3 linked regions of the Drosophila melanogaster genome follow. The protein of the gene in region 1 purifies or fractionates together with the protein of each later gene. This does not show direct contact. Each region holds a gene or a part of one and is shown on either strand. Other genes may lie near its edges.

What was found. The genes of interacting proteins can lie anywhere in the genome.
Region 2: the proteins of Cyp6a13 (region 1) and hiro purify together in Drosophila melanogaster (affinity purification with mass spectrometry, with the first as the bait; one large-scale study listed by BioGRID). This does not show direct contact.
Region 3: the proteins of Cyp6a13 (region 1) and Sil1 purify together in Drosophila melanogaster (affinity purification with mass spectrometry, with the first as the bait; one large-scale study listed by BioGRID). This does not show direct contact.

What each region holds. Positions count from the first base shown.
Region 1 is NT_033778.4:8,567,339-8,574,861, forward strand, and holds Cyp6a13 (cytochrome P450 6a13), read left to right. Parts: upstream 1-3,160; 5' UTR 3,161-3,192; coding exon 3,193-4,674; 3' UTR 4,675-4,809; downstream 4,810-7,523. Other genes in the region: CG42326 (uncharacterized protein), read right to left, coding at 6,337-6,661, 6,739-6,922, 7,251-7,456, 7,519-7,523. UniProt on the Drosophila melanogaster protein: May be involved in the metabolism of insect hormones and in the breakdown of synthetic insecticides.
Region 2 is NT_037436.4:683,029-690,680, forward strand, and holds hiro (highroad), read right to left. Parts: upstream 4,931-7,652; 5' UTR 4,841-4,930; coding exon 4,774-4,840; intron 4,345-4,773; coding exon 3,553-4,344; intron 3,500-3,552; coding exon 3,314-3,499; intron 3,259-3,313; coding exon 2,963-3,258; 3' UTR 2,914-2,962; downstream 1-2,913. Other genes in the region: ebd1 (earthbound 1), read right to left, coding at 38-1,663, 2,000-2,119; CG32483 (uncharacterized protein), read right to left, coding at 5,557-5,852, 5,907-6,092, 6,146-6,931, 7,002-7,053; RabX6, read left to right, coding at 7,592-7,652.
Region 3 is NT_033777.3:25,230,723-25,238,388, forward strand, and holds Sil1 (Sil1 nucleotide exchange factor), read right to left. Parts: upstream 4,808-7,666; 5' UTR 4,676-4,807; coding exon 4,540-4,675; intron 4,477-4,539; coding exon 3,323-4,476; 3' UTR 2,914-3,322; downstream 1-2,913. Other genes in the region: Jhbp7 (juvenile hormone binding protein 7), read left to right, coding at 6,991-7,057, 7,115-7,352, 7,478-7,666. UniProt on the Drosophila melanogaster protein: Required for protein translocation and folding in the endoplasmic reticulum (ER). Functions as a nucleotide exchange factor for an ER lumenal chaperone of HSP70 family.

The DNA of each region.
Region 1 (7,523 bases):
CATTGACAGCAACTTTCTTAAACTAGCCAGCGTCAATAAGACGTTAGTCACACTGAAAGGTAGTTTCCAAACACGTTTTGAATATTGACTATCACGAGAATAATACCTAAATTGGTTTGCACTACGAATCAACAAACAAGTTTGCCTTTTTAAAAGGTACTGCAAATACAGTGACATTACTCCGTATTTTATTAATAATTGGTTTGCTTTTAACTATGCTCCCGAAATGCCGCAAACCTATGAGAATCAGCAAAAAGCAATTTAGTTTTAATAAGCATAATATCCGTTGGCCCTGCATTATTATTTAATTCCAGCTTTTGTTTTATGGCTCGAGCTGCCTTTAACTGCGGCATTACGATTTTTATGTCGATTGGAAGATGGCGCATTAGCGGCATAAAACGGGCCGTGAGCATTAGGCCCAAATCCTTTAAGCACCCAGAACAGCACACACACGCCCGCACAAGGTCACAAAATGCTTTTAGGCGCGACTTCGTTTTATTATTTACTAGGAAGCAGACAGAAGTCCTGCAGGGAGGGGGAAGCTGGGGATCCACCCACTTCAGTGTCGCCTCCTTGGGAGCAGCGTGCTGCCCCAAGAAAAGCGTTTAATGGGCCTTTAATCGCATTCGCGTAAATATTCCCGCAACTTTGTAACACGCCTTGGGAATTCAGTGACACCAGCGTCTTGATTTTGTGTCAGTTTTATTGAGTTTACGCTTGAATTGATTTCTGGGCCTAGTCACAGGATTCAGTTTAATTAAAGGTGAGATGCAAAGGCCAAAAGGCAGCAAGCAAATCGTCTAGCAAATCATCAACAACTTGTCAATAAACTGATGTTTTCTTTTCCTGTTTACGCCCAGGCTCACATTTCAATTAAGAGGACAAACACTCTAGGAGTCGAATAAAAAAGTGTCCTGGAAGGAGGCTACAACTGCGCATTCAGAAGAAAACTTTGAGCTGCAAGCTAAATGTCTGAACATGTGTATTTTTCATGAAATTGCTTGCCAGCTCTTTGCCCCTTGGAAAATAAGCTCGAAACAAAGAATTCATTTGCATTAATTGTTATAGCGATAACGGGTACATTTATAGAGCCCCAACTGATATTGTCCCCTCTTTTCAGCATTACCAACAAATTTTTGCGGCATTAGGCATTAGACCAAACATTTCGTCGACTCTTTATCACCGATTTCTGTTACGGTGGTCATGTTGACAGAATTTCTTGATAACGAATACGATTGGGCAACTTGAGTCACCGGAATAATAAAAATGTTCTATCTATTCTATCTTCTATCTATTGTTATTTCCGAGGTTAATAATAGAAAAAGACAGGAGGCTATCAGATACTATCAGATTGCGATATGCAAGCCCTAATTTCATAAAATATGTACATACATATTTAGTCCGGCGTACATATAAACTCCTGTGATTCTGATCTAACATATATGAGTCTCAAAGGGTTTCCTTCTATATTTTACTTTCAAACTTTTACTTTTAAACTTTTCAACGAATCTAGTATGCTCTTCACTTTACCTCTTAAAGAATAAGTTATATCATCACAATGTACAATAGTACACTTAAACTAAACAATGTATATAGTATTTGTTTACAACCTTATCTTCTAGTACCGTCTAGTTCACCATGGGAAAAAGCTTTGTCGACTCAAAAGCTGAGCAAATGTTTATATGTATATTGTACATATGTTTGATTGTTTGCTTGATTGCCGATTAAGCTCCCGAGATCTATGAAGAAAATTCGTTAGAACCTAACAATAAGCTTTCAAGAAAATACTTCGCGTACCAGTGTGCTGGATAGCTTAATCCAAAGAAGTATCTTGATCGCCATGCGGCTCACTCTCGCATTATTCAGTTTGGTCCCAATGTTGGCTTATATAGATTCTATTACAACACCTACACATATTGGGCCAGAACGGGGAGTGTCCCATGAGCGTCCTCTACCGCTGATTGCAAACATCAAGGGAATCGGCACATAGTGGATCCCGAATCCCAAAGCCGAGTTCAGAAGAAAGGGCCGCATTTACAGTTACCAACTCCAAGTTGGCTAAAAAGTTAAAAATGAAGATTCTTCGCGATGATTTGACCGACTTCTTCTTGTCGGTGGTTAAACCGGCATTAAGCGGAATGACTTTATGGACCAGTCCTCCGAGCGGAGGACGAAGTAGCAGGCAAGGAGGGTCAAAGTTTGATCTCTCCCACAACTGGACCCTGGAGCAAATGGCTGCCCAGGCCATCGTGTTCTTCTTGGCTGGATTCGAGACCTCCTCCAGTACGATGAGCTCTTGTAAGTACGAACTAGCCCTCCAGCCGGAGATCTAGAATCAAATAAGGGATGAAATAGAAAGGGTTCTGGAAGGAAATGCGATTACTTACGACGCCTTAGCTAAAATTAACTATCCAGAACAGGTCTTGTCTGGTAAGCATGGAAAATTTGATAGCGCAACTTAACTTTTAGAAACTCTTCGAAAACATCCAATTAATTAAATTTTTGCTCGAAACACAAGAAAGCTTTAGGGTCCGCAATACTGAGCTCATCGTTGAGAAGGGAACTTCATTACTGATACCTGTGCACAGTGTTCACTACGATCCGCACTTATATCCACATCCAAAACTCTTCGATTCCAGCCGCCTCAAGGCTTATAAGTCCAACTCCCGCCATCCATTTGCATATCTGCCCTTCGGAACATTTGGACCCCGCAGTTGCATAGGTCTGCGTTTTGGCAAAATGCAGGCCAAGATTGGCATTGTGTCAGCGCTTCAAGTTCGGTGATTCAGACCTAACAGACATCCCCTTAGCTTCGGACACTCGCAGCGCCATAGTGGAACGCATATAGACTCGGAATTTTACTAACTTTGGAAAGTTTAGAATGTACTTGTAAAACTTGTAAATAATCTAATAACGCTTAGCCAGTGAAGTTTTTTAAATTTTCAAATAATAATTGATCTGAAAACTGAACATTAGCAACGCTCTATATATTTTGTTTACAAATCATTTGATTCTCATTTAAAATGACGCAAGATATGTTTATGTATGTTTAGATAACTGCAGTTCTTTGCATATAAGACCGATAGAGAAAGAGAGTCCCCGAAAAGAGAGCGAAGCGAAAGCTTTTCAGACGGCAAATCAAATGTACCCCACTTTTCCACTCAGTTGTTATTCTATCGAGCAGTAGGTACCATGCTGACGCTCCTGGTACTCGTGTTCACCGTCGGACTTCTGCTATATGTCAAGCTACGCTGGCATTACAGCTACTGGAGCAGAAGGGGCGTCGCCGGAGAAAGACCCGTGTACTTCCGCGGCAATATGAGTGGGCTGGGAAGGGACCTTCACTGGACGGATATCAACCTGCGGATCTACCGGAAGTTTCGGGGAGTGGAGCGCTACTGCGGCTACTTCACTTTTATGACCAAGTCGCTGTTTATCATGGATCTGGAACTGATCCGCGATATAATGATCAGGGACTTTTCCAGCTTCGCCGATCGAGGACTCTTCCATAATGTGCGGGACGATCCACTGACCGGGAACCTTCTCTTCCTGGACGGACCGGAGTGGCGCTGGTTGCGCCAGAATTTGACGCAGGTGTTCACCTCCGGCAAGATGAAATTCATGTTCCCCAACATGGTGGAGGTGGGCGAGAAGCTAACGCAGGCGTGTCGCCTCCAGGTCGGCGAGATAGAGGCAAAGGATCTGTGTGCCAGGTTCACCACGGATGTGATCGGCAGCTGTGCCTTCGGCCTCGAGTGTAATAGTCTCCAGGATCCGGAGTCGCAGTTCCGGCGAATGGGCCGATCAGTGACCCAGGAGCCCCTGCATTCGGTGCTCGTCCAGGCCTTTATGTTTGCCCAGCCGGAGTTGGCTAGGAAGCTGCGCTTCAGGCTTTTTCGCCCGGAGGTCAGTGAGTTCTTCTTGGACACGGTACGCCAGACATTGGACTACAGGCGACGGGAGAATATTCATCGCAACGACCTGATCCAACTACTAATGGAATTGGGTGAGGAGGGAGTAAAAGACGCCCTCTCCTTCGAGCAGATTGCGGCCCAGGCATTGGTTTTCTTTTTGGCCGGGTTCGACACCTCCTCCACCACCATGTCCTTCTGCCTGTATGAGCTGGCCCTCAACCCCGATGTCCAAGAAAGGCTACGGGTTGAGGTACTCGCCGTTTTGAAACGCAACAACCAAAAGCTCACGTACGACTCCGTTCAGGAGATGCCCTACCTGGACCAAGTGGTTGCCGAGACGCTTCGCAAGTATCCTATACTGCCTCACTTACTGAGGCGTTCCACCAAGGAGTACCAGATACCGAATAGCAACCTAATCCTGGAGCCGGGATCTAAGATAATAATACCTGTGCATAGTATTCATCACGACCCAGAGCTTTATCCCGATCCAGAAAAGTTTGATCCCAGTCGCTTTGAGCCAGAAGAGATTAAGGCTAGGCATCCTTTCGCCTATTTGCCTTTTGGCGAGGGTCCTCGAAATTGCATAGGCGAGCGTTTTGGTAAACTGCAAGTGAAGGTGGGTCTTGTATACCTTCTAAGGGATTTTAAGTTCAGCAGGTCGGAGAAAACACAGATCCCGCTGAAGTTTTCCAGTCGTAATTTCCTGATATCCACCCAGGAGGGAGTTCATTTGAGGATGGAAGGACTTGAAAGACCATAATAGTTGTTATCTGAAAATGTGTATAATCCTGACAGCGCGAAATATGTATAGGAAAACTCTTATCTACAAAAGACTGCGTTCCAAGATTGCATTAATCCCTACATTATACAAATAAACACAAAGAAACTGTCTAGTATCAAAAAGCTTTTTTTACAATTGAATAATGATAGATAAATAAATAAAAAAGAATTCAATTTTAGAGAGGGAGAGAAACGACTTAAAAATATGTTTTGACTGGAAATTTGAATTCTTAAAAGAAGGTGTCTTTGAATTTAAATATTAACCAATCCGAATTTTAGATGTATGTACATACATATAAAATAAAAGCTTTTAAAAGCCAGTCTTGTATATACTCTCTGTCAGAATACTGTGCTCAAAAGCTTTATAATAATAAAATTTAATTTAGAAATCTTTAATAACAAGGATAGTTTAAAATCTAATTTAGGTTGTCCTAACGTTTGGCAAGCCAAATTATAATAAGATAAGATACATTACAGAACAAAAATATTTCTAAATATTTAGGGAAAACTTTATGTTATGTTTCAAAATAAATAAATAAAGTAATTCAGTTTTCACATGGGAAAAACTTACTCCACATTTACTTAAATTGTGAAATGAAAATTTTATTATCAAATCATAAGTTAAGCATTTATTACAGACATATTATTACATTATTACAGTTCCATAGCATTTCTTAAGCGACAATAAAGCTAATTGCTATAGCACTCAAGTTGGTGGATGACATGGACAAACCCATGGACTCAGCTTTACTCACACTTAAAAGCTGACTAATATAGCGTCTGGAAAAGTTTGTTATCAGTCAGTTTCTTACCAACTCAGTAAATGCGCATCTTTTCAAACCTGTTATTATCAAAATGAAATCGGATGATACAGGCTCCTGCCTGTAGTTGCGTAGCTCTTAAAATACTGATTCATTGGACATCTACTCGTGCAGAAACATCCAATTTCTTAAAAACTATCATAACAAATTACTTGCTTTGCCTACAAAGCCCTTAAAAAGCTTTTTTACTCCGAGCGGAAAGATTGGTACCGCGAATGTGCAAATTCACCTTTTGGGAAATAGGATTTAAAACTTTTTACTTACAACATAACACCAAAAAGACAATTGCAAATATGTGTTTATATAGTAATTTAGTTAACCAAAAACCTCAAAAGAAAGTATGGTTTTCCCTTAAGAAATTTACATGCCTCGTACTAAATAATCCTAAATAACTGCATTGTAGTTTTTAATCACTGTGAACGTAGTGACGAAGCGCAATGCATTAACGCATTAACATTAAATGCTAAATAAAAAATAATAATCGACCCAAGAAAAACATGTGCCAGGCGTTTTTCGTAAAAACTAATTTTATTAATAATACATACAATTCAGCTTAGTGGTACTAAGAATGCCTGCACGCAAGCTGTCATTTGGGTTGCATTCAACATTCAGGGGAGTTAAGTTAATAAGTTAATTGCTTTCATTTGATTCTGACGACAATGGTATCCAATCTCAATGATGATCACAACGACAACGTCCGCGCGGTCCAAGTACATCTGGCTGGGATTAGGGTTCGGGATTGGAGGAATGGGGGATTGGGGTATCTATAGTACACAAGCATGTCTTAATCTGCTAATCGTAATCTAAATCAGCGCTCCCCACTAGCACGACTCCTTGTTGCAGTCGACGAAGTTGCTGAACTCGGTGGCATTGGGCGGGCCCTCACTGTACAGGTAGGTCACGGGCCACAGACGCGCGGCGGCGAAGTCACTGAGGCTCTGCAGTCCGCCGGGTCGAGGTGGGTGCTGGCTGTATTCGCTGCTGGCCGCCGTCGCCGGCTGGGAGTGATGTGGATGTGGATGTTTCTGTTTCTCCTTGGCACTGGGCAGTCCCAGATGCGAGTGGGTCGGCTGGGTGCCGTTCTTTCCGGGGAAGTACCGATCGCTGCACTTGCGCCACTGGTCCGACTCATCGCCCACAAAGCACCTGGAAAATGTCGAGGATTATGTAGGTATCACTTTCTCATGCAGATTGGTAAGCTCATTAAAGCTCTGTCCACTTACCATGGATAATCGAATCCCTTGCTGTAGCCGCACGGGTGGTCCGCCTTGCAGCAGTAGTCCCAGGAGCCGACCTCGGAGGCATCCGTCTCGCAGGAGTAGAAGCCCGTGATCAGATTCTTGGCGCAGGGACTGCTCCGGCGGCAGGGCTTTCCGGACACGGTGTAGTGACGCCAGGCCACATCGCCTTTAGCGGACAAGAAGCGAGTTTAGTGAGGTCGAGAACACGGGATTTAGGGGATGGTAATCGGAATCAAATTGGGAAACGGTGACATGCAATCGGTCGGTTAGTAGCTTTTTGGGGGGATTCGTCTTTCGGTTATGCTGGGACTGGGGCCTCTGTACATGCTAGTAAACGTTATTTACACAACGATCGCCGCTACAAACTAAGTTACACAAGTAAGTTCTAATGCTAATAATACACAACTAATGCCAATCCGCTGCACGGGAACGGCACCCGGAACCCGTTATTTACACTTGGATCGAGGTGCAACAGGTTAGTAGGTTAAGTTTACCCGGTTCCCGGAAGATATCCATGCGCCTGTCATTGTTGACCCGGGATCCCCCAATAGTGTTGACCTTGTCCCGGCAGGTCCAGTCGAAGGGATTCCAGGCGAAGAGCCAGAAGTCACGGTCCTTGGTGTGCGCATAGTGCACGTCCTGTTTCAACTCGGTCTGGTCCAGGTCAGAGAGTTCACAGTTGAAGGAGCTGGCATGGGAGCTGGAATGTGGGTGGAGATTGACATTACACTTCCATTGAATTATGAAATTCGTTTATCTCACCCATA
Region 2 (7,652 bases), on another chromosome or scaffold:
CGTTCTCCTTCATGTGGCGCTCACTGTTTGGAGCATTCTACGGCACATTGTCATCCATTTCGCGCATCACTTCATCGGCTCGTGTGATCAGCTCAATCAGCCGGTAGTTCTCCTTGTACAGAGCAAACTCCTCGAGTAGCTTTAGGTACTTGCGTGCATCGGCGCAGCTGATGACACTGGACCCACTTTCTTGGCCGGATCCCCCATTGTTGTTATCGTCTTGGGCGGACTCATAGCGACGTTTGGTGCCCTGGCGAGGATTCAGCGAGTTTTCAACTGCCGCAGGCGAACTCACCTTTCGCTGCCGCATCTGCTCGATGTACTCCATCTCGTCCTCCACATTGGCCGCCAGAACCTCGGCCAGCGAGGTGACACTGGAGCGACCATTGTTCGCGTCTTCATCGAGATCCGCTGGGTCTTGGTCCAGTTCCGATTCCAGCTCAGCCTCTGGCTCCACTTTTATGTGCACTGTAGGCGGAATTTCAAGATCCTTTTCCCTTTGTGCTCGGTCATCGTTCTCCTGGAGCTCCGCCTCGGGCTGCTTCGCCAGGAGCTCTTCCGGGTCCTTGGGCTCCACTTTGATTTCCTTTTCCTGCTTGATCTCTAGTTTGGGCGGCGGTACCACCGGTCCTTTGTCCTGCTGCTGTGGGGCAGGAATCTTGGTGATGCTCTGAGCGAGCGTGGCTAGTGGTATGATGGTCATGGTCATGGGCTGTCCGCCCGCTTGCGTCGGAACAATGGGTGTGGCCAGGAGAACTTTTTGAGTGGTGCCTGGCGGTGTGTTAGCTTGGAGGGGCAGTCTAACTAGAGGCGGCAAGGGCTTCAGAGCCCTGGCAAAATTTAGTTCGCTTAGTGAGGGCTTGACATCAGGCTCCTCCTCCAGATCATCCTCGCCGCTAATACCGCCACCGTCGACATCCACCTCGTCATCCTCGTCTTCTACATAGCTGCGGGGATGGCTGCTCACCGGGCTGCCCAAGCTGACCTCTTCGTCATCCTCCTCGCCGTTCCGTGGCCCACTTTCCGGCATGCTTTCCGACATGACGTCCTTGACGATGTCCTTGATCTGCACCGAGTAGCCCTGCGTGTAGCCTATCTTCAACAGTCTGGTGTCGCTGTGTTGGATGCTGTAGGTGCGTCTGAACTTGTCGCACCACTCCTGGTGCGGAAAGAAATGTGCCAGGTTCATGGAGCTCTTGAACTGCAGCGCCATCTTCTGGATGAGTCCGTCGGAGATGCTGAAGTCCTTGTAGTACATCATGCGGCGTATCCAATCGTACACGGCCTTGCCCAACATCGAGACCCTGACGGTCTTCGTCTCCATGGTCTTGGCGTCCTGGCTCCTGCGGGTTCGCTGATCCCACGCGTTCAGAATCTCAGCGCGCTGCTGCACGATCCGCTTGATCTGATCTGGGCTGCAGTTGAACAGCCGGCCAACGTGCTTATAAACCGGCAGCCGATCGTATTCCCGCAGAGCAGCAACCTTTTCGTTGAGGGCCAGGACATTCTTGCGCTTGATGCGATTGTCGAAGGCCACCTTCTCGGCGGCCGGCAGGCTGGGGGTGTGCGTGCTAGTGGGTGTGGGTGATGCAGTCGAAGTGGGTGCTGCTGGTGGAGCAGGCGCAGGCGCAGGAGCTGGTGTGAGAACCTCCGTGTCAGTGGCCTAACGACGAAGGGAAAAAAAGTGCTGTTATTACCGGGTTTTATGGTAACAGTTGAAATCGTGCAAAGTAATGCCACCATGAATGTAGAGATACAGTGCTCCCTCTGAACATGAATAATGTAGACAAAACAACAGAAGGTCTTTGCATATTTAGTTATGTTAACAAAAGCAACAGTTAAGAAAGACGAAGTTTCAAGGAATACATGGGGCTTTTATACTCATACTCATTCAAGCTTATATACAAATAAACGCCTAGATCAAGTCATTTACACTCGTGTTCTTTGAGAAGTGAAATGGGGTGGAAACACTTTGCGAGGCTTGACTGTGGCCACTTACCTTCGCCTTGTTGTTGTTGTCCTGCGTCTTGGAGGCCTCCTTGTGCTCCTTTTTCTCCCTCTCCACGCGCTTCTCCACCCTCAGCTCCCTCTGCAACTTGCGTTTTTCGCGTATCCGCATTGTTTGTGCTTTCCGTGCAATTTACACGGCAATTGCCGTTTGTTTTCGTCTTGTTTGTTTTTGTTGCTGCTGCTGCGCCCACTCAATTTCGCCCACCCCTTGCACCCTTTCTGCTCTCTCACTCACACACCCGCCCGCCTGTGTGTGTGTGTCCGTGCGGCTGTGTGTGTGCGATGGCTACGATTATGCGCGTTGACTGTCAAGCGAATTCAAATCATTTCGTCACTGCTTTTCTCGCTTTTCTTTGGCCTTTCAATGCGCTTTGGCTCTATTCGCTTTCGTTTTCTCTTCCTAGGCACTCGATTTGTCTTCTGATTGTGATTTTCCAACTGGCCGTGCGCTGCACCTTGCGTATTTTCCGATGTCCGTGCGAACTAGACGACGACCCATACAAAAATAGCTGCCGCGTTATCTCGCGCAGTTTTCATTCTCTGCTCGCTCCCTCTCTCGCTCTCGCATGCGCAACGTGGGCAACTAGAACGGAAGGGAAGTCGGCGTGTGCGAGAGTGTGTGTGCGTGTGACCAGCTGAGAGGGTGCAACTGCGCATGCGACAACTTTACTGTTACTTTCGCCATGTGGCAACTCTGCAGGCGATCGCTTTTTAAGTAGAGTAAGATTAATGAGAACATACATATGTATGTATGTATTTTGTTTTCAGTTTAAGAATGAATTGATTTCACAAGATCTGCAACTAACTGCACTGTAAAATATAACTATAAAGTCTTTGCGAATTGTAATCAATATTTAATTTAAATTAATCGAACCACCACCAATTGGAAACCCACGAGTCCATACATTTCGAAAATAATCTTTATTTTAACGCTTTTCTCCGGCTAATTTGTTTAACCGAATTTGGTGAAGTGTCGCAGGATGTGCGACATGGCCGCGGGATTATCGGCAGGAACCATGTGACCAGCCCGGTTGACCCAAAACATGCTGAAGTTGCCATAGGTCTTCTCGTAACCCTCGAGAACTCGATCTACGGTGATTCCCACGCGCGGAGAGACCTGGTAAGATGGCTTGGCGGACCATTCCATTGCTTCGATCCAGTTGACGGCTCCCGGAGTGGCGCAAATCAGGTCCAGTCCTCCGGAGAACACGCCCACTTTTACGGTGGTGTTGTTCAGCAGTTCACCCACTAAAAGTGTCATAAGGCTATAATTTGAGGTAGCACCCAGACGGTTGAAACATACCAACATCCACAGCTGGCTTCATGAAATCGCCCATCAGCTTGGTGAAGGTGGTGCCGCTCTGGGCGCCCCATTTCACTCCGGTGTTGATTCCGAGGGCCTCGGTCACGGGTCCAAGCATTAGATCCTCCAGCAATTTGTCGCGGTCCTCATCCACATCGAATTTCACGAGGGTGCGATACATGACCTCTGGATAAGTGGTTGATGAGAATCAGCTCGGTAAGTTACGCAACGGATCTTACCCTCCGGAGTCATGGCAGCTCTGGACATCAACCTGTACTGATCACCCAATGTTGGGGTCTCCACGTTATAGAAGTCCACTCCCTTGGACTCGCGCAGCACCACTGACTGGGTGGAGCTCCACTGCAAAGTGGCCTGTGTCCACTTCTCGCGGTCAACATAGTCCTTAGTCTTCAGGGCCGAAGCTTCAATCTTGTCATGGCCATCCTGATCCACGATTCCCAACTGCAGCAGGAAGGGAGCCCACGAGAGCACAGAGTCTATGGGTGAGGTCCAGGGATCTCCCAAGGCCACCGAAACAAAGTTGCTCTCGATCTCACCGCGCTTGATGGCGTAATCCAACTCCAAAGCGAACTCCGGGGCCATCTTTCCGCCATAACTCTCGCAGAAGATGTGCAGCGGCACAGTCTTGAATTCCGGGTGGTTTGTGTAGAAGCCCTTCATCAGCTCAACGAGATCCAGGGCGATCTGCTTGTTGTTGGTCGTGTAGTAAGAAGATCCGTCCACGTAGCTGAAACCACTGCCCACGGGATTGTCGATGAACATCACGTTCATGTCCTTCACCCAAGTCCAGTCGCGGTAGCTGCCGTCGAGCTTCAGGGGACCCAACTCCTCAAAGTTTCCGTATCCCGTTGAGGAGGCACCTGGACCTCCTTGGAGCCAAATGGCCAGCGGACGCTCCGTGTAACTGGAGACATTGGCGGTGGTGTAGTACAGCCAGTAGAACATGTGGGCGCCAGTCCTGACATCCACAAATCCCCAATCCTGATCACCGGGTCCATAGCCCTTGCGTGCTGAGAGTATATTGAATTATAGCTCATTTCGATTAAATAGTTATTAATATACAAAGCTCTTTGATTTTGTAATTTCATGATAGCCCCTGATTTCTAGGGAACACTTGAGAAATCTAGCCTTTAAGTATATTAAACGGCTGCACGAGTAGCCATTTAGATAAGATTAATTGTTATAGATAGTGTAGATAGTTGATTGTATTGTCTTATAACAAACCGAATAGCGGTTGGTCACTGTATCTTTTACAATGGTAATAAGGTCTGTCCCCAAACGATTCATAAGTATTTCAATCTACGGATATAAAAGTAGGTAAAAAAGTCTGTAACAGATAATTCTGTTGGCCTGTTCTACAAGTCGTAAAGAACCGTTTGTTTTGGAACACTTTCTCACTGATTAGCACCCCTAATTGGAATACAAATCACGATTCTCACCGTCAACGGAAGCCAAGCCGGCAAATCCCAGTAGGGCCAAAAGTGCGATGATAGCGCGTCCAGCCATGTTGCACCAGTGTTTCAGTTCCAATTCCAAGAGACACCGATCGAGAGACAACCGCACACTTGGCAGTTCCACTGCCAATTGATCGCTGGTTGCTCCCAGACATCGAAGGTAAAATAGCAACAGCCAGCACCTGACACACCTGGAATTCGTAATCTGCGGGCAGGGGAACTGTGTTTGCAGAGTATTTATGGCCCTTCGCTGGACGGTGACGCGGCTTTTTGGTCAATCTGTGCTTGTCACTCGTCCGATTTGCCGAATCTTTGTGTCATATATTTAGATAGAGCCTATGAAGCTCCAAAATCATCGCAAAGATTGCACTTTGCTATCTTGAGTGGGTTTTCCGAGGGCTTTTCCTATTATTTTTCGGTATCACTTGCGGTTTATCCCACGTGACATGCGTGAAAGATATCTAAGGTGTCTCCCAAAAACTCTTTTTAAATCATCAGCATTCTTTGATTGATTGACTATATTATTTTTAGGTGTTCATATAATCATATATGCATCAATTCTGGGCATTGCTTTTTAAAGAGCAGATTAAGACATACATTTGACATTTATCAAAATAACTAATAGGATAACTTCCCCAGCTTCTATAAGCAAAAAATCCATTACGATTTACATTATATACTTTCAGTAAAACACTCCTCTATTTTTAGACGAATATAGTATACAACTGGCTTGCATACTGAGTTTATTATAATTCAATTTAAATGAATTTAGCCAAATGAGGTAAACTCTCGAAGTACATGACTCATAGCCGCAGGGTTGTCCGCCGGAGCCATGTGACCACTTCGGTTGATCCAGAACATGGTAAAGTTACCGCCCGTCTTTTGATAGCCCTCCAAGATGCGATCCACCGTGATGCCATTGCGTGGAGCAGCCAGGTACTCGTCCTTTCGGCTCCAGTCCAGCTTGGCTATCCAGTTGACGGTGCCCGGTGTGGCGCAAATCAAATCCAGGCCACCGGAGAATACGCCGACCTTCAGAGGAGTCTTCTCCAGCAATTCGTTCACTGTCATTCAATGGATGTCAGACGCTTTCGTTATATAAGAAGTAATATCCCTACCAATGTGGATGACTGGCTTCATGAAGTCCGTTCTGTGGATGTCAAAAGTGGTCCCACTCTGCGATCCCCAGATGACATTCGAAGGTATACCCAGGGTTTCCGCCACCGGGCCCCGCATCAGATCCTCCAGTAACTTGGTTCGATCCTCATCAATATCGTATTTCACCATGGTGCGATACAGACGTTCTGCAGGGAAATATCATGGTTTGAAAAATATCGTATCGAAGTATTTGGTTCACCTTCGGAGGTCAAGGCCTTTGATCTCTGGTAGAGACCACCCTTTGTCTCCTTCAGCACGTTGTAGAAGTCCACACCCTTGGAGGCTTTCATCACCTCCCACTGGGTGTTGCCCCACTGATAGGTGGCCTGAATCCATCGCTCCTCCTCCACCAACTGAGCCGTGAAGTTCGCTGCCTCTTGAATGGCATTGTATCCCGCGTGGTCCACGATTCCCATTTCTCTGAGAAAAGGTCCCCATGCGAGCACGGAGTCGATGGGCGAGGTCCATGGATCCCCCAAAGCCACCGAGGTAAGGTTGCTCTTGACCTCACCACGCTTCTTGGCGTAGTACAGTTCGAGTGCAAACTCCGGCGCCATCTTTCCACCGTAACTCTCGCAGAATATATGCAGCGGCACCTCCTCGAACTCTGGATGCAGGGTATAGAATCCCTTCATCAGCTCAACCAAATCTAGAGCGATCTCCTTATTGGTGGCCGTGTAAAAGGCCGTGTTGTCCACGTAGCTAAAACCACTGCCTACGGGGTTGTCAATAAAGAGGACATTCATGTCCTTCACCCAGGTCCAGCTGCGCCAATCTCCGTACAAATCGACGGGCCCAAGTTCTTCAAAGTTTCCATACCCCGTCGAAGAGGCACCGGGACCTCCTTGGAGCCAAATGGCTAATGGTCTTTCGGTATAGCTCGAAACATTGGCGGTGGTGTAGTACAGCCAGTAGAACATGTGGGCACCGGGACGCACATCTACGTAGCCCCAGTCCTGCTCTCCGGGACCGTATCCGGGTTTGCCTAGGATGCGCCATTAGTTCATTTAAAGATTACCACATTTCAGAGATAGCGCTCGATTTACGATTCTTACCATGCGCCAAGGCGGCGAACAATGCCAGGAGTGCTACCAACCGAATCGACATTTTCAACTGAAAGTGATACTCAAGCGCACGGGCTTATTTAACGGGTACAGCACTATCAGCAGAACTTGACATCAGATAATAGTTTTTCAAAAATGATAACTTCTATCGATCTGGTTCTTTCAATCATTCAGAAGAGGGATGATAATCATTTTTGAATTTGTATATTCCCTTTTAAAAAGAAGTTGAATATCTGTTTATGTACGTATATTTAGGTACAACTAATGTTGAAACGATAACTTCCTCCATAAATAATCCCTTTTTCATAAACAATTTTACAATATTGTATATTATTATTATAATGGGTGGAATTGTTTTGCCTAAACTAAAACCAAATGCAGATCTCAACTGATAAGACCATTTGAATTCGAATAACTCGAATTATCGGTTATCGATAGCGTTCAAATGGCTGGCAACTCTGCGATGTTGGCTGTTTTTGCACAAACAGCTGTTGTCGCACTGTTGTTGTCGCCTTTGTGTCTGCAGGTGCAAAATAATATATTAATTGGATTAACTTGGGATTAATCGAGCGATCACAGCCATGGCCACGATGCGCATACCCAAACAAAAGGTGATCCTGTGCGGCGACTACGGAGTGGGCA
Region 3 (7,666 bases), on another chromosome or scaffold:
GGTTAGTTGATAGTTCCTCAGCTTCCTCAGTTCAGAGCCACATAACACTTCCACACAAATCATGAAAATAAGATTTAGCTCAGTCACTTCACTTGATGTTCTTTAGCACTTTCCATACTCCATTTGTAATGCCCTTGTTTAACCGGTACGTGTTTTTTATTTAAGCAATAACTTTGCGTCTATCTGTGATGTGCCATAAACGAATTGAATTTATGTGCAACTTTTCCTTTGTTTAGCCCTGTAATTGGCAAAATGGCAATTTGAAATGGATAATGTAGGGGGCTTCACAGGGGCAACTGGAGTCTTCTAGATTATTACAAGATTATTAGATAGACAAAACACTCTGGCACAGAAACCAAAGCAACTGGAACATTAGCACTCCCCACCGACCAACCTTCTAGCAACTGAATGTTGTTCTTCATCTTTAGCATAAACCCCCTCGTACACCACCTCCCCTCCCTTACACCATTGTCTTCTGGTTGTGGGGCAAATGTCGCACACATGTTACCTCCAAGTTGCGCGTTTGGAGGTGGATGTCGGGAGTGGGGTCGCTGGCTCGGTTGCCACATTGTTGTCACCAACGGAATTGGCGGCATTCTATTCCGCCAGGAACTCCAAGAATAATACAAGCGAAAAGGGGATGATACAAAACCGAAGCTAGGAGTACTCTTTCTTGGTCGCCTTTTACCTATCCGAACTTTACCAACCTTGAATTGATTATAATAAGTTCATCCATATAAAATAGGTATGAAGATCAGTCTGTTATACCCTCATGGACTTAAAGAGTATATAGACAACAGCAGCCACTGAAGACGGTGGCAATGTTTTTGTTTTTGTTTCCTTGGTTCCGGTATTTTCGAGCGAGTGGAAGAATTCGAAACGCCCGTTTACACGGGCCAAAGGAGCTTCCTCCTCCTGGACAGGATTTATGGCATACCACAGCAGGTGGGCGGGTGTTTTGAGGATGAGGGAGGAAAGCGTGGGGAGTGGGAGGCGTGCTGCATCGTTTGATGGCTGAATCCGGAGGTTTGGGGGACAGACAAACATTTGCATACAAATCGCATAGCTGGCCGTTGGCCGATGGCGAAAATGAAAACGCTTTTTTGACCGGAAGCCCGCGGAAGCGCACAAAAAAGTCATTCACCTGTGTAAAAACGGTTACATTTTCCGATATTCGCCTGTGGCGCAGACTGTGAACTTGTTTTCCCCAGGGGTTTTTCATTCGGATAAACTGTTAACTGATTTACGGCATATGGGAGATTTAATTGGTGACAATTTATGGATTCCGGTAATGACAGCAAGTAGGGCTGATAAAATAAGATGAAAAGGAAAGTACTTCATTTAATAAAAAACTGATATTATAAAAAGGAATCACCAACTGAGCAGCTTAGTATATGCTGATTTTTATACTTTGAACTACATATATGCTTCACTGTACTTTATGTTTTACAAACACGCACTTAATCCTTTCGTGCTTTATCTTCCAGGTGCACTAAATGTTAGTTATTTCATTGTTTTGACCGCGATTGCAACGGACAAAGAACAATGTTGGCCGAAACGCTTTCAGTTAGTACTCCGCAGCGCTGAACGAGCTCCTCGCCTCGCGATCCAAACACAAACTGATTTTCCTTCCATAATGTAGCCAAAGTCGCGCCCCCTAACAACCGACGGCAATAAAAGCAGCAACAGCCTGTGAAGCCGGTGTGCGCTCACTATCAACATGCATGCACACATGCGACAGTCGCGGTCACAAAAATAGTGATCTTTCATACGCTTTCAGAAGGAATCTCCAGAAGAAACCTTCAAAATGGGAAACCATTTTTGAAATTTTGAAATTATTTTGTTATCGTAGACAATTGTAAATGATGCATAAATTGAAATTTTTGTTCACTTTTAGCTTTTAAAACAGTCGCAAAGAATCTTAAAAAAAAAACTTTTGAATTATTGTATACAAAGTGAAACCACATCCCAGAATTTCAAAAAAAGCGAACTTGATCTAATTGAAAATATTATAAGTCCAACTGCAATTCTTGATGGGATACCAGGCTTTCCCAGTCAAGCTCCTACCATTTTGACCGCTGCTGTGGCTAAACGGTGGAAGCCTCTCTTTCGCTTGTGTCGAAAATGTTTCCACATCACTCGTCAAGCGTAAGCGTTTCGGCTGGAAAGCGGCAAGAGGCAGGGGGAAGCGTAGCGGCGGTGGGGCAGTGCCATGACAACAACAACAGCTCGCCGCCACTGCGCACGCGCCCCAGCTGGAATTGGAATTGATGAGTGAATTCCAGTTCAGGAATCCTCTCCTGCCTCTCTGCGTTGTGCTCCACTGAGCCGGCTTTGCAACCCCTTTTCTCTGTTTACATTGCATGGAGTAGCCATGGGAACCAAGGCGGCGTCCTAGCCGGCTCCCTTCCAGGCGCTGCTTCACCTTTACCACTCCACCTATCCGACCATCCACCGTCGTGACTCAGCCCCAGTGACATTGCATTTGCATGTGACTGCCGCTAATTGCTGTAATTCCCGCGCTGGACTTCGACTCCAACTTCCAACTTTGCCGGCACATAATTGCACTCTCCTGCTCCGATGTCCTTTCTCCTCCTGTACAGTTCCGTGCCAGGTTTTCCCTGTTCTTGTGGCTTCGTTTGGCTCACATTCAAACTTCAAGTGGTTTTTTGGGACATGCTTTCCTCGGCGTTTTTGCTTTCCTTCCGACACTTTTGACTTACTTTATGGCCCGGTCGATTATGCTCGCCTTATCGGGCTTTAAATGGGTCTGTAGTTCTATAGGGGTGGAATATCCAATCTCCTAATGCGATTTCTTGATTGAAAATACATTTCCTTTCATAATTTAGCACTACATTTTAAGAATATGCCACTGAAAAGAAGTCAACTGATTTAAGAAAGAATTTCTAAATTAAACATTAGGTCATTGCTTTATTATTGTAGCTACAATAAACAAGAACTTAAGGCTTTAAGGATTCATAATCTGTTTGGAGAACAATTCTGTAGCATACAAATTTTTGCTAGTTTAATGACGTGTAACAACATAATTATTTTGATGTGCTCGTTGGTGAATCGTCTGCCTATTAAAAAAAAATCACACTTAAAATAATCTTAAGTAAGAGACTATATTTGATAACGAAAATCCTGTAGATGTTTGGCATGATTGATTGCTATCCTAAGTTAATGACAAAGAGCATTATTTTTGCATCACAAGTACTTGGCATCTTAGCTATCGTATTCTATGGTTTGGCTGCGAATTTCATTCCAACTCAGCTTACAATTAAATGAAATTAACATAAATAACATAGTAAATTGGCTAGGATTACAGTTCGGTGTGCTTGGGCTTGTTGAACAATCTCTCGCACAGTTTGGCCAAAATCTGGGACACCTCCAGTCGGTACTCGTCCGTGCTGTTGGCATACCGATTGCGAACGGTTAATAGTGCATGCCTGAGACCGGAACTTTGCGACCACGTGCTGGTGCACATATCTTCGGTGGTCTCCAATGCGGTGGCAAACTGTTCCACCACCTCCGGTTGCTCTAGGAGGAGCAGGAACTCCTTGGTTAGCACAGTGTCCACCGCCGCGCAGTAGCCCGGCGTTTTCAGCCACGACTCGAAGTCCAAGAGCACATATTGCGCCATTGTGGATGAGGCTTCGGGATCATCTTTGCTGACATCCAGCACTGACCGCTTCTCCAGCACTAGGTCGCTTATGAGAGTCACTACCTTCGCCTTGCTCCGCAGCTCCACATCCGGACTCTGGAGCACCTTGATCAGAGCCTGTGTACCCGAGGTGGAAAGCACTCGCTGCTGGGCTAGCGGAAATTTCCGCAACAAGGCTCCAAAGGCGTGCAATGCAGCGGAGATCTCACCGACATTTCCGGAACTGGTCAGAATCTGAGCCAGATGAGACCCGAAATTCTTTTCGAACACCTTGATCTGGGCCTTGGGATTGTTGCTCGCCAGCGAGCCCAACACACGCATGGCCGACACTCTCAGGGATGTACTGGTATCGTTCACAACAATGGGCAGTAGTACATCATCCAATCCCCCATTATCAATGAACATCAAGGCATTGTCTATCTGATGGAGCAAATACTCCAGATTTTCCAGGCAGTCCAGCTTGGAGCGCATCTCTGACTCTAGCGGCGTTCTGCTGAAGTTCCGAAACTGATCGATTAACTGGACGATCAGTTCTCCGTCGGTGCGAAAGTTCTTCTGGAACTCTTTGTACGCTTTGCGTAGCTCGGCATAGCTCTTCTTCTGCTCCTTGACCCGCCGTATAGACTCCTCGATTATGTCCGGTTTATAGTCCAGAGCCAGGGGTTCGTTGTCATCGTGAGATTCCCGAGCATTCTGATCATCCGGTTGACTCTGCAGCGACGTGCCACGTTCGCTTTCGTCTAAGAGTTTGGCTTCCTTGAGCCCCGTTTGTAGGTTGATGCGCACGTGCAGGCCCCTTGGAATAGCTTGACCTGGAAATATAGAGTGCTCACTTAGTACACGTCATCCGAGAGTTAGCCTGGCTAGCCATTAACCTTCCGCAATCGTCTGCCATTCGTCGGTGGCCACGAAATCGTTGGTTTTGTTATCCGTTTCCGTTGCCGCTGCCACTTGTAAGCATCCCAGGATCAGGACACTGCCCAGAAGGATGACTACCTGCTTGCCACTCATACTGCTTCAGCTTGTCTTGCCTCCAGAATGTATTCAGTCTTTATTTCACCTGGTTTTAAGTAAGTTTCGTGAGAGTTTTTAAATCAGATTTCAGACTTCTGATGTGGATGTGGTTAATAGTATGACCGTAGGGAGCTGCATTGATTATACCGCATGTGGCGATATGTTCCGTGGAGAGCCAGTCGATTCGGAACCAGTCAAAGGCGGTTACAATTCAATTTCAAATTTGAAAATATTTGTAATCAATAAATTCGTTATAAACAATAGAATATATTAAAGTATTGAAAAAGTGTAAACTATATGTATGCTTTATAATCTTTCTTTATATTTATTAGATTGTGCTGTTGGACATTCCAAGCCAAATCTTATATAAATAAGTAATACAAAAATTAAGTAAAAATTTTTATGGTTAATTTTTGCTCTTAGTCCGGAATAGTTGGAAACTTTAAATGATTTCAAACATTATTTCGCTAACAAATTAATTTTTATCCCTAACGAACACAAATATTAATATTTTTAAACCTTAGTTTGTTGTGAAAAACAAGCATTGCTAGAAATTTCCAGACTTGAAATTAATATTTAAGAACCAGAAAAAGTTAATGCCATTCAGAACGATTAAACCACATCAAACCAGAATGCCACCAAAAATTCCCAAACTCATCGTGAATTCATTAAAAATTGAAAAGTAACCGCCATTCATAAGCTTTCCACTTCGTTACAACGTAGCTAAACTAGTTATAAACTAAACGTATTTACTGAGTTTACAAAGAAAAACGAAATCATGTTTACGCGCAGATGAATCAACCAACTCAAAATTGAAATGCCAAATTATTTGCAGGCAAGCCCGACGTAATAAAATAAAAGCGTGTTTGCATATATTACCATATTTCGCCCCCGAAAATCCGTTGTAATCTCGATGTCTACGACAGCGTCTAGGAATTGGCTGCGCAAACACATCAAAGTGGACAAAAGTGAAATATTTGGACTCACCTGGCGCCAATTGGATGGGTAAATAAACAGAATGCCGGTTTCATGCCAATCACACACCAAATATACATATACATATGTATATATGTAGTATATGCTAATTGCTGATGACGAACGCCAGGAGCCTTTAACTAGAATTTGCCAAATTAAATTCACTCGGCCCGTTCCGAACGTCGCCTGTCCAATAGTTTTGAAAGTGAAGCCACCTCGCCGAGCAACTTTTATCCGTCGATCCATCCATTATCGATTATCGATGCCGTTGGAACCTGTTTGATGTCGTCCAAAATGCCCGACTATGTCTAATTGGTTTATGTCGGAATTGAGTTGTGTTGGCCACAAAAAGATTTATCTTCGTACATATGTCCAAAACGGAAATTTCATAGTTGGGAGCCTTGGGATGCATTCTTCCTTCTGGTCGGAATACAATTTCATAACTTAAGTGATTTTTATCGTGGATCCTTAACCATGACCTATTCATTATCATTCCCTTTCAGATTGCCTGGCCATTTAGCACACTTAGGAATTCCCCCAGAGGTAGGTTCCCAATTCCAAGTGCTGATCTCAAAGCAAATATGGGATGAATAATATCATAAGCCAATAAGTACGAATTGATATTTGCACTTTATTAAAAGTGTGAACAAAGCGCGGATTCCATTTCACGGAGTTTGAATCTATAAAAAGTACACAAGATGCCGAAATATAGTGCAAATTATATATGTATAATTAAATTATATATATATATAATGCATTGCAGGATAAGTGGAAATATATTGGTTAATTGCTTGAAAACTGACTGGATTGAGCATTAAAATTTTGAGTTTCGCTGCCTTTTGTGCGCGTTGCCATTGTTATTGTTTATTGTTATTTGTTGCTGCATGCTAATAATATTAATTAATAATAATGCTGCTGCCAATTCTGGTTAGGGGTAGCTGCGATAAAGATAAAGACTGCGATGTCTATGATGATGAGGAGAATCCATAACACGAAGCGAAAGAGATATACACATACGAATAAATAAAAAAAAAATATAAATAAAAATAGCCAGCAATCAGACAGACAACAACAACAGCAGCAGCAGCAACAACAAGAAAAACAAGGGCCAAGACGCGACAAGTCAGGAATGAATAAACTATGAAGTGTACTGGTTGTTGTTGGCCACATTTGTTGCCGCTCCATCGTTCTGGCCGATCAGAAATTTTATAAATGCCGCCGTCTGTCCAGAGCCGATTTACAGTTTGCCATTGAACCTGGTCGGGCATTCGCCAAATCGTCGAGCGGTTGAATTTCGGGGCGCTTGAATTTCGTACGTAACTAGATCCATATCCAGAATGATGCTGCTCCAGCTGGGCTGCGTGGCCCTCTTCTGCTGCTTGGTTAGCGGTGCCTCGAATTTCCGTGAGTCCTTTGGCCAACAATCCCAGTGCTTCGCTAATCGCCAGCTTATCCTTGCAGCTCCCGAACTGCCGCGCTGCCACATGGGCGACACCAGCTGCATCATCAACGTGTCGCACATGCTGATCAGACAGCACGCGAGGACCGGCTATCCGTCCGCTGGATTCCCCCAGGTGGAGCCCTTCCTGATCAAGCGCTTCGACATCTCCGACGGACGCACTGGCTCCCTGAATCTAAAGCTCAACTTCAGGGACGTGAATGTGGAGGGCCTGTCCAGTGTGAAGTTCGACAGAGCCGTGTAAGTAGCAAGTGAAATGAAAAGTGATTTCCTTCTTAAGCAAAAGTGAAGAAGTTCTCATGTTTATTAACAGAAGAAGATATATTAAGTTGATTGCACTTATCCATCATAATCGTATTTTTCAGTGGCTTTGGCGCTGATCCTGCAACCAGCAAGTTTGAGATGTACGGATCCTTTCCCAAGATCGTGCTGAAGGGCAAGTACGTGGCGGATGGACGCATCCTGATCCTGCCGATTCGTGGCGATGGCGATGCCGAGATCGTGTTGCACAATCCCAAGTTTTCGGTGAAATTCAAGCCGGGCACACAGCAGCG